Arabidopsis thaliana: one gene and its partners. The protein of the gene in region 3 interacts with the protein of the main gene of each other region in a pairwise test. Each region holds a gene or a part of one and is shown on either strand. Other genes may lie near its edges.

The links. Proteins that work in one complex are often made in the same cells at the same time.
Region 1: the proteins of TFIIIA (region 3) and AT5G49420 interact in a two-hybrid assay, tested with the Arabidopsis thaliana proteins (one large-scale study listed by BioGRID).
Region 2: the proteins of TFIIIA (region 3) and AT1G72570 interact in a two-hybrid assay, tested with the Arabidopsis thaliana proteins (one large-scale study listed by BioGRID).

The regions. Positions count from the first base shown.
Region 1 is NC_003076.8:20,034,162-20,038,205, reverse strand, and holds AT5G49420 (MADS-box transcription factor family protein), read left to right. Parts: upstream 1-2,000; 5' UTR 2,001-2,035; coding exon 2,036-3,040; 3' UTR 3,041-3,093; intron 3,094-3,290; 3' UTR 3,291-3,534; downstream 3,535-4,044. Other genes in the region: AT5G49430 (WD40/YVTN repeat and Bromo-WDR9-I-like domain-containing protein), read left to right, coding at 1-328, 536-594, 673-868.
Region 2 is NC_003070.9:27,329,511-27,334,208, reverse strand, and holds AT1G72570 (Integrase-type DNA-binding superfamily protein), read right to left. Parts: upstream 2,829-4,698; coding exon 2,741-2,828; intron 2,646-2,740; coding exon 2,048-2,645; intron 1,869-2,047; coding exon 1,786-1,868; intron 1,660-1,785; coding exon 1,651-1,659; intron 1,495-1,650; coding exon 1,406-1,494; intron 1,176-1,405; coding exon 1,102-1,175; intron 999-1,101; coding exon 948-998; intron 847-947; coding exon 770-846; intron 690-769; coding exon 511-689; downstream 1-510.
Region 3 is NC_003070.9:27,113,043-27,118,043, forward strand, and holds TFIIIA (transcription factor IIIA), read left to right. Parts: upstream 1-1,978; 5' UTR 1,979-1,994; coding exon 1,995-2,171; intron 2,172-2,308; coding exon 2,309-2,449; intron 2,450-2,599; exon of another isoform or gene 2,600-2,765; coding exon of another isoform or gene 2,766-2,774; intron 2,775-2,872; coding exon 2,873-3,317; intron 3,318-3,479; coding exon 3,480-3,715; intron 3,716-3,815; coding exon 3,816-3,959; coding exon of another isoform or gene 3,960-4,045; coding exon 4,046-4,186; 3' UTR 4,187-4,467; downstream 4,468-5,001. Other genes in the region: dNK (P-loop containing nucleoside triphosphate hydrolases superfamily protein), read right to left, coding at 18-476, 571-1,206. UniProt on the Arabidopsis thaliana protein: Essential protein. Isoform 1 is a transcription activator the binds both 5S rDNA and 5S rRNA and stimulates the transcription of 5S rRNA gene. Isoform 1 regulates 5S rRNA levels during development.

The DNA of each region.
Region 1 (4,044 bases), on a different chromosome or scaffold from region 3:
AAGAAGTCGGTATGAAGCAGCAATACAGAGGAACTGGACTTGCAGGGACAAGTGTAAAGTTTGGTGGAGAGACGAAGGCGAAGAAGATGGTAGTTGGTGGGAAGGACGGATTCTAGCTGTGAAACCCAAATCACCTGATTTTCCTGATAGTCCGTGGGAGAGGTACACAGTTAAGTACAAGAGTGACCCTGCCGAGACACATCTTCACAGTCCCTGGGAGCTTTTTGATGCAGATACCAAGTGGGAGCAGCCTCACATTGATGATGAGCAACGAAACCGTTTGCTCTCGGCCTTAACAAAGTTAGAGACTTCAGACAAGAGAACCCAGGTATGTGATCCTAATGAATATAATATCTCATGGTGTTAAATCTAGCCTATCCTCCCCACCAAATTCAGACTTCACCCAAAGAGCTTAGGCCCATGTTTACATTAGCTTAGTTGGTTTATAGATCACATTCTAAAGCTTAGTGGATTAAGACACAACATTATCCCAAGAACTAACAATATTGATATAATGTGGGCTAATTTGTTTCAGGATTCTTTTGGCCTCCGAAAACTGAACCAGACCGTGGGAAATTCCAGCTACTCCAACAGGTAAATTTCTACAACCCTGGAAGAGTCTTTGGTGGAGCCAAAGCTGACATGGTTTTGTTCTATGGATTCATTCTGCAGGTTCCCAGTTCCTTTGTCTCTTGAAGTAATCAGATCAAGGCTTGAGAACAACTATTACCGAAGTGTGGAAGCATTACGACACGACGTATCAGTTATGTTGTCCAATGCAGAGACTTTCTTTGGTCGAAATAAAAGTGTAGCAGCCAAAATCTCAAATCTCTCTAACTGGTTCGACCGGACGCTACCTTCTTCGTAGCTTATCATCGCGCCTATGTAGATAAACTGATGTTTTTTTTTCTCATGTTTCCAAATTATTTAGTTAGGTTTCCTGCAATTCTTTAAAAACTCTGGTTCTAATGGCAGAAGAGAATTTTAGGGGATTTTTTTTCCTTCAGTTAGAAAATTTTAGGTTTAGGGTTTAGTTGGAGATAATCTTTTTCTTTTTGAAATTGTATGTAAAGAGAAATTGGAGGAGAGGTCAAAAACGTTTGATGCTTTGGAATCATCTTCTGTTGACTGACCAACCCCAAATTTGAGAATCATTTCTTTTTCTGCTAATGGTACAACAACAGATGAAATTGTTGACATTACATGTGCAAATATCCAGTCTACAATAGATGATCAAGACAAAAACAGTATAATTGCAAATATTTTTGACAAAAAATTGATGAATACTAAGAAACAACGTTTTTATAGAAAGTCTGGACGATTTGGTTGCTCTAGACAGTGGTAGTAAACTGAGTGATAGATATTGCTAGGTGTTTTTGAAACACTGTCAAGGTTAAGCTCCAATGAAATCAGTCAGTGATTATATGTTGATGACCCTCTCTCAAGGTTTGTTCTATAGTCACCAATTACAATTGTTTCTTCTTGGTATTGATATTTTGAGTTTTGTGTGTTTAGGATAGCTGATAGGCTTTTTTGTTAGTTTTATTTGATGGACTATTGTTTTTCAGTAGGTCTTTAACAAAGTTTTCTTCTGCTACCAGGTCACCTTTGTCAACTCCATAGCCACATTTTAAGGAGTGAAGAACCAGAAAGAATGAACACGATAATGTGAAGAACCAGCTATATATTTGTTTGTCTCTCTCATAATAATCTGACAAAATTTTTTTTGTAGAATCTAGCAAAATAATATTTTTTGAAAAATAAAAATATCTCCAAATAAATCTGAATCATAATACAATAACTAAAAATTATCAAAATAAAAATAAATAAGACTGCACTAAAAAAGGATTCTGGTGGATAGTTGGGCTTAGCCCATACAAGATTACGGTCCATGTGGTTTAATCGGTTTAGGTGGATGATATTGATATGGGGTTTCGATATTTCCCTTATATATATGAGACTGAGAGATAGAAGAAGCCTTCACTTTTCAATTATCTTTCTCCACACTCAACAAAATTGAGAAAAATCAATCAGAATGGTGAAAAAAGGTGGCACGAAGAGGAAGATTGCGATTGAGACGATACAGAAGAGAGATTCCCTTAGGGTTACCTGCACCAAACGCCGTGAAGGTCTCTATAGCAAAGCCTCTCAGCTTTGTCTTCTCTCAGACGCACAGATCGCTATCTTAGCGACTCCTCCTTCTTCTGAATCCAACGTATCCTTCTACTCTTTCGGTCACTCCTCTGTTGATGCCGTTGTCTCTGCTTTTCTCTCCGGACAACGTCCTGTTCCGAAGGATAACAAAGAGACGAGGGAGGACGTTGGTATCTGTTTGACTCGCAATAATCTAGGGTTAGGTTTTTGGTGGAACGACGAGAGCCTTGCCAGATCGGAGAATCCTCAAGAGATTAGTGAAGCGATCGACTCTATGCGGACGCTGTTGAGGAATCTCAAGGAATTGCGTGCGGATGAAGCTTTAGCCTGTAATCAAGCTTTCGTTAATGATCGCGAGGACCTGAAGAACAACGACAAGTGCGATTTTGTTTCAGACCACGAAACTCATGATCAAACCCTAATTCTTCAGTCCGCTTCTCCAATTTGTTGCATCCCAGAAAATCTCAACGAGATTACTCAAGAGCCAAATCAAACCCTAAATATTCAGTCGAGTACTTCTGCAATTTGTTGCGTCCCTGATAATTCACCTGAAAATTTCAATGAGATCACTGAAGAACAAGATCAGATTCGCTCGATTTGTGAAACTTTTTGTGTTATGGATAACAACGCTGCTTTACCTGAAATGAACCTGGATTACGATCAAGACATTGGCTTCGACACGCCTTTTGAGAGCGCGCTAAATGATTGGTTTTCGGACAACACTACTCATCAGGAGATTAGTGCAAGTATTTTGAACGCTGTTGTTGATGATCAAGTCTCGGTGGATCTAACTCCGTTTTCTTATTTTCAGAGATGTTTGGATGGAGATAATCTACGATTCTCTGATTGTTTCAAAGACTTTGCAAACACTATTTCAGCACTTTGAAGATAATTTCTCTGCAGTTTTCAAACTAACTTCTAGTTACTTCTTTATTATATGTATGTATTGATTCTGCTAATTTTGGTTACAGATATGTTTTAGCAATGTAATGAATGAAAGGGTCTGGTTTGACCTCGATCAGTTTTCCATACATATATGTATGAGGGAAATTGATCGAAATCAAACTGGTTCTCTGCTTCATCAGTTTGGTTTAATGATAATATTTGTCTTCTGTTTCTATGTTTTGTATTTGTAGTTTCAAGTCCAAACTCATGCGATGAGAACATGACCAAGGCAACCAAACCACTTGAACCACAAAAAGACGAGAAGCAGCTTGTACCGGAGGAAGCATTAATCGTTCTGGCGGGTCCTCTAACAAGATCAAAATCTAAGAAGTTCAACCAAGCTATCAATGGACTACTCAAGGAGCTAAAGAAGAATCAAGAAGACGTGACTCAATCCTCCTTCATAGTGATCACGGCTCAAGAGGCTCGGTAAAGGGTTAAGTGTTGCTTATGCATTCTTTTTCCCTTATCAAGTTTTGTCCCAATGGGTTTTCTTGACAAGGTTTTTAATGAGGCCTAAGGAACACTTTCAAGCCTCCCTTTATCAGCTCAATTCGTGGTCCAAGGCCCACTCACAATGCCGTGGCCCATTTTCTATTTTCTCTTCAAACTTTGCATTTATTGTTTTTGTTATTTCCAAAACTCTTTGCATGAGTGTGTACTTGTGCATGCTCTTGCATGTCTTTCTTCTCTCACCTCTTCCCCTTCTTCCTCCTCTCCTATATAAACTCATTGTAGTTCTCATTTGTAATCATCAAACATTTTAATCAAAAACTTTCTCTTTCACTTGTTTGATCTGAAAAGTGTGTAGTATCTTTTCAACTTGTTTTCTTCTTAGTGTGTAATATCTAAGTTGGATCCAAGCTCGTAGTCTAAGAGTCTTTCATCACTCTTGGAAGTACAATTCGTTCCCCTTTCATTCCGCTGCATCCACTCGATCTCGTC
Region 2 (4,698 bases), 220 kb from region 3:
TTCAAATTTCCATTGACACCAATTATTTTCACCATGGCATGAGGGAATTAGCTCGATACGGGTTCAAAATTAATCAAACTATCAAAGGCTTGGATGGATTTGATTATGAGTTAAATAAGTTTCACTTAAATTTGTAACGCTTTTCCTTAAAGTACGACCACGACAGAAGAAGGCACACAAATTGAGGAATCGCCTCTCCTCAACTTGGTGCAGTTAATATATACTAATTAATTAACACTTATGTTATGGATCCTGTAAATAATGAATGCATTAACTTTTTTCAATTAAAAATAAAAACGAAATTTAATCAAAGTATATCATAGAGAATAATATATAGTGGATTCTGATAACTTAATTTGCTAAAAAAGTTGTATATATGTAGACCGGCCTCAATTACTTAGGAATATATGTTTATTAAACCATAAATGATTAAACAGACTGGACGAACTTATTTCCTCAAACCAACCGTACGTGGGAATAGTCTCTCCGGCGAGGAGTTTACGGTGTCGGTTAGTGGCCGGCGCCAGAGCTGGTGGGAGAATGTTTGGCCTGGTCGCTATCAACAATCGTTGAGCTTGAACATATCCTCTTCACGTCATATCTATTTATATCGAAATTGGTTACAGCGTTTAGGCCTCTGAATTTAATTGCCGCGATATCGTACGCCTCCGCTGCTTCTTCTTGCGTGCCTTCATCATAGTTACAAAATGTGATATTTAATAATTCAAAGGCTATGATATAATTCCATATGTATAGAAGTGGTTCATACTAAATGTTCCAAGGTACAAGTCCTTGTTTCCAGCAACTCTTCCAATTCTGGCTTGCCACCTTCCATGTTGATGATGCCTACATGAGTTATACATGCATGATCATCATGATCTAATTCCATGCATGTACATGTACATATATAAATATATACAAGTTTCACATATATGTCCAAATCAAACCTTGTAACTCCTCTATACACGGAAGCTCCCCTCGAAAACCCGCTGCTATTCCTATGATTATGATATGTAATTACAAAGCGTTTGTTAATGGTTAAATGCATATGACTATATAAGGTCCATAAATATCATTACAAACCCACTGTTGAGTAATTACCTCCTCAACATGGCAACAAATTCTTGCCGATTCATGTTATTGAGTTCCTCGATCTCCTTTTCGTAATTACTCAACTGAATAAAAGAGCGTCAAAGGAACTGATATCACAAGCCAAATCTATGTAGTTCCATCAAAATCAAGTCAATAAAATCGGAAAATGATTACATTCAAGATCCAAAATATCGAAATAAGTATGGAAACTGTTATGTTGCATGTATATAAGTGTACATATATAAAACACACTTGCATGTAATAAAGGAGTTAGAAGTGGAGCTAGGTACGGGACCAGAAAGATCAAACTCACAGGGAAATTTAAGTGAGTGGTAGGACCCCAATACTTCAGAGCCGCTAAATCATATGCCCTCGCTGCTTTCTCCTCCTCATCATACCCTCCTATTTTAGTAAGTATTAATTCTACTATTAAATGTTTTTCTATAATTATCAGAAGGTAACAAGGTTAATTTTTACTTCGAAGGCCAAAAATAGGGCAACAAGAAATGAACGAGGGATCTCATGCATAATAGGTTGTAAAATAAAGTTCTGGCTTACCAAGATACACTGTGATTGATCAAGAAGCGAATTCGAAAGTACATACGAAGCCAAAATTAAATAATTGTTAGTAAGATTATTGATGCATGATAGCATATTGAATCGGAAAATTATTTTGTATTTGTTTTTTCTGACCTTGTCTTCCTCTCCTTGTCTGTCCCTCCTTCTTACAGCTATTATCCCATAAGTGAGCTTCATATCTCCCTGTCCATCTATGCCTGTATACACGCACAACATAAATATGTGTCGACACAATTATACATAATCTACAAAATAAAATGACAAATATACATAAGTAACATAATTGTGGCATTCACATTTTTCTTACGTGTAAGTTTGAGACATCATTTAAACCAAAACAAATGTTTGAGACGTCATTATTTAATAACGTACGTACCTTGTAACTCCACGATACTGAGAAGTTCTTTGTCCATAACTATCAACCGACTTCCGAGGAACGGATTCCTTTACCTGAGGTTTAACAACCAATCTCTTCCGCTTCTCATCTACCTTAACCGGTTCTTCGACCCGTGCGGATACATTCGATTCGTTGATCAAATCAGAACAAGCCCCATGGCTCAAAGCCAATGATAGCATTGAGCCATTGGTGTTATAACCAGTCTCTTCGTTACTAAAATGACTAATATTATTGCTCGTACCAGCCTCTTCAGTAACGTAATGACTCGAGAGTGGGAATGCTGGAGTGCCTTGCTCTAACCAAGATTTGAAAACCGAGACCGAACCGACCCTCTCAAAACCTCCATAATCATTGCTAAGGTTCGGATCTAGGTTCGGGTAATGTGGTGTAACTACGGTTTGGTCGTGGAGAAGGTAACCGGGTGGGTTTAACCTGTTAACCACAGTGGTGCAGTTGACATTGGTTTGGTTATGGTTTATAGGATACTCGGTTTGATGAGAGTTTGAGAGGAGATCTTCCACCTTTGGAACGTCTTCATCATGATGATGATGATCAAAGTTAATATCATATCTCCAAACTACACATAAAATAGAAATCAAATTAAGAATATTAATAGTGGCCACACCAACAACATATATATACCAGGGGGATGATGTGTGAAGAAGAGAGTACCATCGGAACCGTCATGCCTAAGTTCTTCTTCTTCACTATTGCAGATTCTCAAAGGAGGTGTCAATGAAAATCCCAACCATTTCTTCATCTCTCTCTCTCTCTCTAGCTGTCTTTCTCGCTCTTAGTTTATATGTATAGGGTTTCGTTTTATATGATTTGTAGTCTCATACGTGCGAATATACATTAATATTTTTCATAAGTCTAAAACATTTAATAAATTATATAATTAAAAAGGTGGAAAAAAGATTTGAGACAAAACAGGTGGCGGTGAAGTTTTGTCGTAAGCATGAAAGAAAGGAAGAGGAAGTTTCTCTCTCCCTCACTCTTTCACATTCTCTTTCACACACACTTGCATCTGACTTCTAGAGTTTTGTGCCCACTCTCCCTCGGATCTTTTCGATGTATACGTATATATATATGGGAGATACACATGACACACTACAATGAAAATTTTCGTTCTTTGGTATTTGATTAACTTTTCCGTAAAAAAAGCACACAGTAGCGCTTAAAAAAGTCAGTATTTTGTTTCTTTCGAAATATGTTAATTAGACAATAATACATTTCTTTTATTAATGTCTTTCTTTCGATATAATTTGGGATATTTTTTAATAAACTTAAAGAACATTACATAATTTAAAAGTAAACAAAATTTGTACTAAAATTAGTAGTATTGCAAGGAAATTTCTCCTTAGACGATAAAAATGTGTTTTTGATTGCTCATTCAATCGATCCGTTTGAAAATGATTCTAACTGTGATGGAGAAGCCTGAAATGATCTTGCTGTTTTCGCAGATTAGACAAAGATCAATCTAAAAGATAAAAGATATATATAGCTGGAGTGTTTGGCAATATGCTATCTAACTCATAAAATTTGCCTCAAGTGTGAGAAGCGGATAATGTGACGGTATAACCTTTGAAAACAGACACACAAAATATGATAGAACAAAAGAATAAGTGATCTCTCTTATTTGGTTGATTATATTGCATATGTTGCTTATAGATAGAAAATGAAATTGTGTTCCAAGCTGTTAACCAAGACTTAGTGGGTAGTTTGTCCATACTCGCCACCCACATAACGAAATGTCGTTCTACACAAAAAGCCACAATTGTTTTCTTTAACAACTGAAAAATGAATTTGTGATTTTATATCTTGCTACGGGCATCGGAAATATTCCAACCTCTTCTACGAGGTAATCGACAATGCCATTACAGAACAAACCTTTTCTTACAATTACCTAGTTTGTAGTATACAAAATAAAAATCGAGAGGTCTTAGCTACAGAAGTTGTCTCCATGAATAATTTCACAGTAAGTAGTTTAGTTATATGTATTAATGTGACAATTTGTTTTATAAAACATTAGATTAAGAAAGTGAAAAAACACCATTATATTTGCTAACTCACAAAACATTTATACATGTCTATCTTAATCTATCAGTATGCAACACCTAAGGCCTAAGGTGAGAGAGATTCAAGCCCATGGGCTGATTTACTGAATTCAGATGACGGTTAATTTTCAATTCGCTGGCAATAATATTTATAGTTCTCTGGGAAAATATTCTGCAAGCTAATAAAAATCTGTGTATAAAAAAAAAAAAACCCTACAGCTCCGTCTTCTCTCCAGTCTCACAATTTTCCTCATATTTATAAATCCGTAAGGGAAATTTTCTAGAAACTCACCAAAAAAAAGTATTCTTTGAATTCAAAGAGAAACCCAAACTAGGGTTTCCATAATCCCTTTTCTACTATATCTCCCACTCTCATAAATCCGATCGCTAAAATCGCCACGATCCTTACTTTCTGGTAAGCTCTCAAGCGAAACCCACTAAAAGTTTCGTCTTTTTCTTCTTCGCATCAAAATCTGATAAGGGAAGAGAACAGTGAAGGAGAGAAGCTAGCTGACGATACTAATTCAAGGCATTGTTTGACTTGTATGCAACAAACCAGGACTGGATTTTGAA
Region 3 (5,001 bases):
GTTGGCTTTAAAATTACCATTCGGTCACTGAAGACACTCCTTTCCATCAACCTGAGAGGTTTAACCCCAGAAGCAGACTCTTTCTCCTGCATCAGCCGAGTGACAAACACATAGTTCTGGAAAGTATAAGCATACCTCTGAGGCTCAGAGTAGAAAGCATCCAATATATTGAAATGGTCAGGTCCAACATCTTGCCACTTATCAACTGGCTCAGGAACAATCTCAACAAGGTCTTGTAACTCAACAGTCTCATTCGCTATCCTCTGAAGAAAAGTTGATTTACCAACACTGATGTTCCCTTCAACACAAAACGTCAAACGTTTCTTCACATTTAGATTAGGTTCAGGGCCAGAATCCTTAAGCTCATCATCCACACTCTCTTTAATAAACGTTGTTATACTCTCCGCATGGTTTCTATGTATAATCCCAACAGAGCTCCTAAGATAATCAACCATCTTCTGACTAGCCTTCCAAAACTGAGATTACAAATCAACCAACCAAAAATAAAGATTGAAACTTTCAATACTTGTCTCAAAACCCGCAAGTTAAAAATTGAAGATTCAAAAGTACCTTATCCTTATAAAGCTTCTTGAGCTCTGCAACATCACCAATCCCATTATCAACAAGCTTTCTCTGATTCCTTAAACCAACTCCAGGAATCTTCAGCAAATCTGGATTACCAACAAACTCACCACTTCCACTAGAGCTCCGGTTTCTACGGTTCATCCTCACAGGCTTCTCATCTTTCTCCTCGTCTTCATCTTCTCCGTCAGACTCTTCCTCGCTTTCAACCACTGCTCCAGCAGTAGCATTAACCGGGGTTAAACCACCAGTAGAGTCTGAACAAAACAACGCACGCCAAGACCCAGTTCGACCAACCCAAGCCCGGTTCGTACCGTCAATTGAACACCGGCAAGTCCGGTAACCAGCTGTTGAGAACCGAACAGACGCCGGTGCCGGTTTATGAACAGTCCTCTGTAGATAAGCAGAGAAACCAACACCGCCTGAAGAAACAGAAGCCGTTGTGGTCGGCATAGCGGAAGTAGAGAAGAAACAAGTGGAGAGAGGTTTAGTAGTAGAACAAGGAGGGAGATTTTTAACGGGGGTCTTAAACCCTAGAGAGATAAAACCGGCGGCGAGAGAGTTCACCGGCGTAGAGAGAACAGGGGTTGAAGAAGTGGTACTTTTGCACAGAATCTTCTGCATCGTTTCCGTTTACACGAGCATTTCACATCACTCAGAGAAATAGAAACCCTAGTTTCAGAGAGAGAAGGGGATAACAAAAAAGAGGGCTTTTGTGTGGGTTTTGGTTTGGCGCAAAGACAGAGGAAGAAGAAGAGAGAAAGTTGCGTTTTAGGGTTTTTAATTTTATTGATTAAAATCATTAATTTCAATTTTGTGGTGTGGTTAATTATTTAATTAATTAGAAGATATGATTATGGGATTAATACGTTTTTTAATAAATCGTTATGGGGAAAAAATGTTAAAAAATGGTGATGTGTCCTGTCCTTGAGGTGTTATTTGTCATCTTTACGAAGTTGTGTAGCACACATGACACGTGCGGATAACAAATAAGTACATAATCATTTTTTTATTGTTTAAAAAAACGCTTGTTTTTGAATTGGACTGGTTTTTTATTTGGGCCTACCCTTTGTTAAAACGATGACCTAATTGAGCTTATCGACTGTAAATTTTTCAAAAATGTTACAGATGCAGGGCCCATTAGATTTAATGGACCGATTGTGACGTTTCAAATTTGTTCCCTTTTTTCCTGGCACAAGTCTAACTTTTCGTTTTGCAAAGATCCCTTGTCTATTTTCTACTCGATTTTGCAAATTTGTTGTAATTCTAATTTAAATTTGTTATATGGGCTTGAAAGGCCCATTATACAATTAGAAGCCCAAGTGTTCTAGGTTAGATTTCTCACTCCCGGAAAAAAGAAGCTGATATATAAATGGCCATTGTTACTTCAGCTTCTACTGTGCGGCGTCTTGATGGAGGAGATAAACCCTAGTTCTTCTGTAGACAATAAGAGAGACATGGCGGAAGAAGCTAAAGTTGATGTGAAGACTTCGGCGAAGAAGGATATACGCAATTATCTATGCCAGTATTGCGGAATCAGCAGATCTAAAAACTATCTCATCACTAAACACATCCAATCTCATCATCAGGTTTGAGATCTTCCTCCAATTCGATTCCAATTTCTCATCCGTGGCATCTTGATTTGTTTTCAATGAAATTGAGAGTTGAGTCTGTAGAATCGGCGATGGTTTGTTGAATTGAGAGTTTCTATGATTCGTTTGTTTAGATGGAACTTGAAGAGGAAAGAGATGATGAAGCTTGTGAGGTTGATGAGGAGTCTTCAAGTAATCATACTTGTCAAGAATGTGGTGCTGAGTTTAAGAAACCTGCTCACTTGAAGCAGCATATGCAGAGTCATTCGCTCGAGGTAGATTTATGCATCCTCTTGTCATGAGAAGTCGAATTGTTCCCATTCTGTGTGTTGCAGCTACAGATGGAGATACATAGAGATACTCGTGGATTTTGCTTAGTGTTGAGTTTTGTTCTGGTTGTGAACTAAAAGTTTATACATTTGCAGGAAATAAATAGCCTTTTGTTTAAATCAAAAGGTCTTACCTATGTTATTGCGTGAGGCATTGGATCCCAAAGAGAGAACTCCAAAATGCGAGGCTACATGTTATGGACTAGTATCAGGTTGGGAGACCTCCTGAGAAGCTCCAGCAAGTAAGCCTCGATCACGCAAAATGTTTGAGGTCTGATGTTCAATAGCTTGTTTTGTTTCACTTTGCTTTGGACTTTCTTTTCGCCAATGAGCTATGTTTCTGATGGTTTTCACTCTTTTGGTGTGTAGAGATCTTTTACTTGCTATGTGGATGATTGTGCTGCTAGCTATAGGAGGAAGGATCATCTCAATAGGCATCTTCTTACACATAAAGGGAAGCTCTTTAAGTGTCCGAAGGAGAACTGCAAGAGTGAATTCTCAGTACAGGGAAATGTTGGTAGGCATGTTAAGAAATATCATAGTAATGACAACCGTGATAAGGACAATACTGGTTTGGGCGATGGTGATAAGGACAATACTTGTAAGGGGGATGATGATAAGGAAAAATCTGGTAGTGGCGGTTGTGAGAAGGAAAATGAAGGGAATGGCGGAAGTGGTAAGGACAATAATGGTAATGGCGATTCTCAGCCTGCGGAGTGTTCAACTGGTCAGAAGCAGGTTGTCTGCAAAGAAATTGGTTGTGGAAAAGCCTTTAAGTATCCTTCACAGCTTCAAAAGCATCAGGATTCTCATGGTAAGTGCACCTTCCTACCCTTACTTTCCCTCTAGTTTAGTATCCTGGGCATATGAAGATTTCTACGTTTCCTCTCTATGTGCTTTGTTATAAATTAAAGACAGTTGTTTGTTAAAGCTTGATAGATTTTCAATCTCTGAAGGTTTAGATTTACATTTGCAGTGAAATTAGACTCTGTGGAGGCATTTTGTTCCGAGCCTGGGTGTATGAAGTACTTTACCAACGAAGAATGCCTCAAGTCACACATAAGATCCTGTCATCAGCACATCAACTGTGAGATATGTGGTTCTAAGCATTTGAAAAAGAACATCAAGAGACATCTACGGACTCATGATGAAGATTCCTCACCAGGAGAAATCAAGTGTGAAGTTGAGGGTTGCTCTTCGACTTTCTCCAAGGTAAAGAAACATCCTGAGCTACGTCAAACTTATATAGTCCAAAACAAGTTTCGTTTCCAGATTATTCAACATCACTAATTACATTACGATTATTTCTCAGGCTTCTAATCTTCAGAAACACATGAAAGCAGTGCACGATGATATACGTCCCTTTGTCTGTGGCTTTCCCGGTTGTGGCATGAGATTTGCTTACAAACATGTCAGAAACAAGCACGAGAATTCCGGGTATCACGTATATACCTGCGTAAGTTCATCCAACCTACATACTATCGTGTTTTTCTTACAAACTCAAAAGACTAGAATCTCATGTAAAACTGAATGTGGTTTCAGGGTGATTTTGTCGAAACTGATGAAGATTTCACTTCAAGACCGAGAGGTGGACTAAAGAGGAAACAAGTTACTGCGGAAATGCTGGTACGAAAGAGAGTCATGCCTCCTCGGTTTGATGCAGAAGAACACGAAACTTGCTAGTAGTGTCCAAGCCTTAATTATATTTTCTGTCTTAAGATAAGTGAAGTAGTTTTGTGTAAAGTTCTTTTTGTTTGTGTGTTGGTAGGAAGAAATATAGAACTACAATAGTAGGTAGTAATATAAGTAATGTTGTGCTTAGAATCTATGTTCGTTTAACCTTTTATCTCCCACGGCTTTAATGTATTGAACCCAACGTTTGAGATATAAGTAATGTTGTGCTTATAATCTATGTTCGTTTAACCTTTTTATCTCCCACGGCTTTGATGTCTTGAACCAATGTTTTTAAAACTGACCCAAACAGTGAACCGGACTACCTTTTGGGTAAATATTAATAGAGATTTTACAATTTTTATAAATAGAAAACAAAATAATCATATTATGTTTAATAGAAAACAAAATAATCATATCATGTTTAATAAAAAAATATAAAATCATATTATGTTTGATAAAATATAAAATCATTTACACCAAAAAAACATATATATATATATATAAAATCAAACAATAATAAGAAAGTGATTAAAAATTTTAAATTCAACTAAATGTCTAACATCGTAACAAATATAATAGAAGATCACTAATGATAGAAACAAATTAATGAAATATCGTGAATTCAAACAACTAATCTCATTTGCATATATCACCATTCGATTCATTTTTAAGGCCGCATTGTGAAATCTTCACCAAAATCTAAAACATCAAATGAGTTTAAGAACTAAAAAAACTTATAAAAATAATTGAAGAAAGTTTAAAATCCCACATTTTATTCCAAAATGAAGAGAATTTTTTAAAACCCACATCCGGCCGGTTCAACC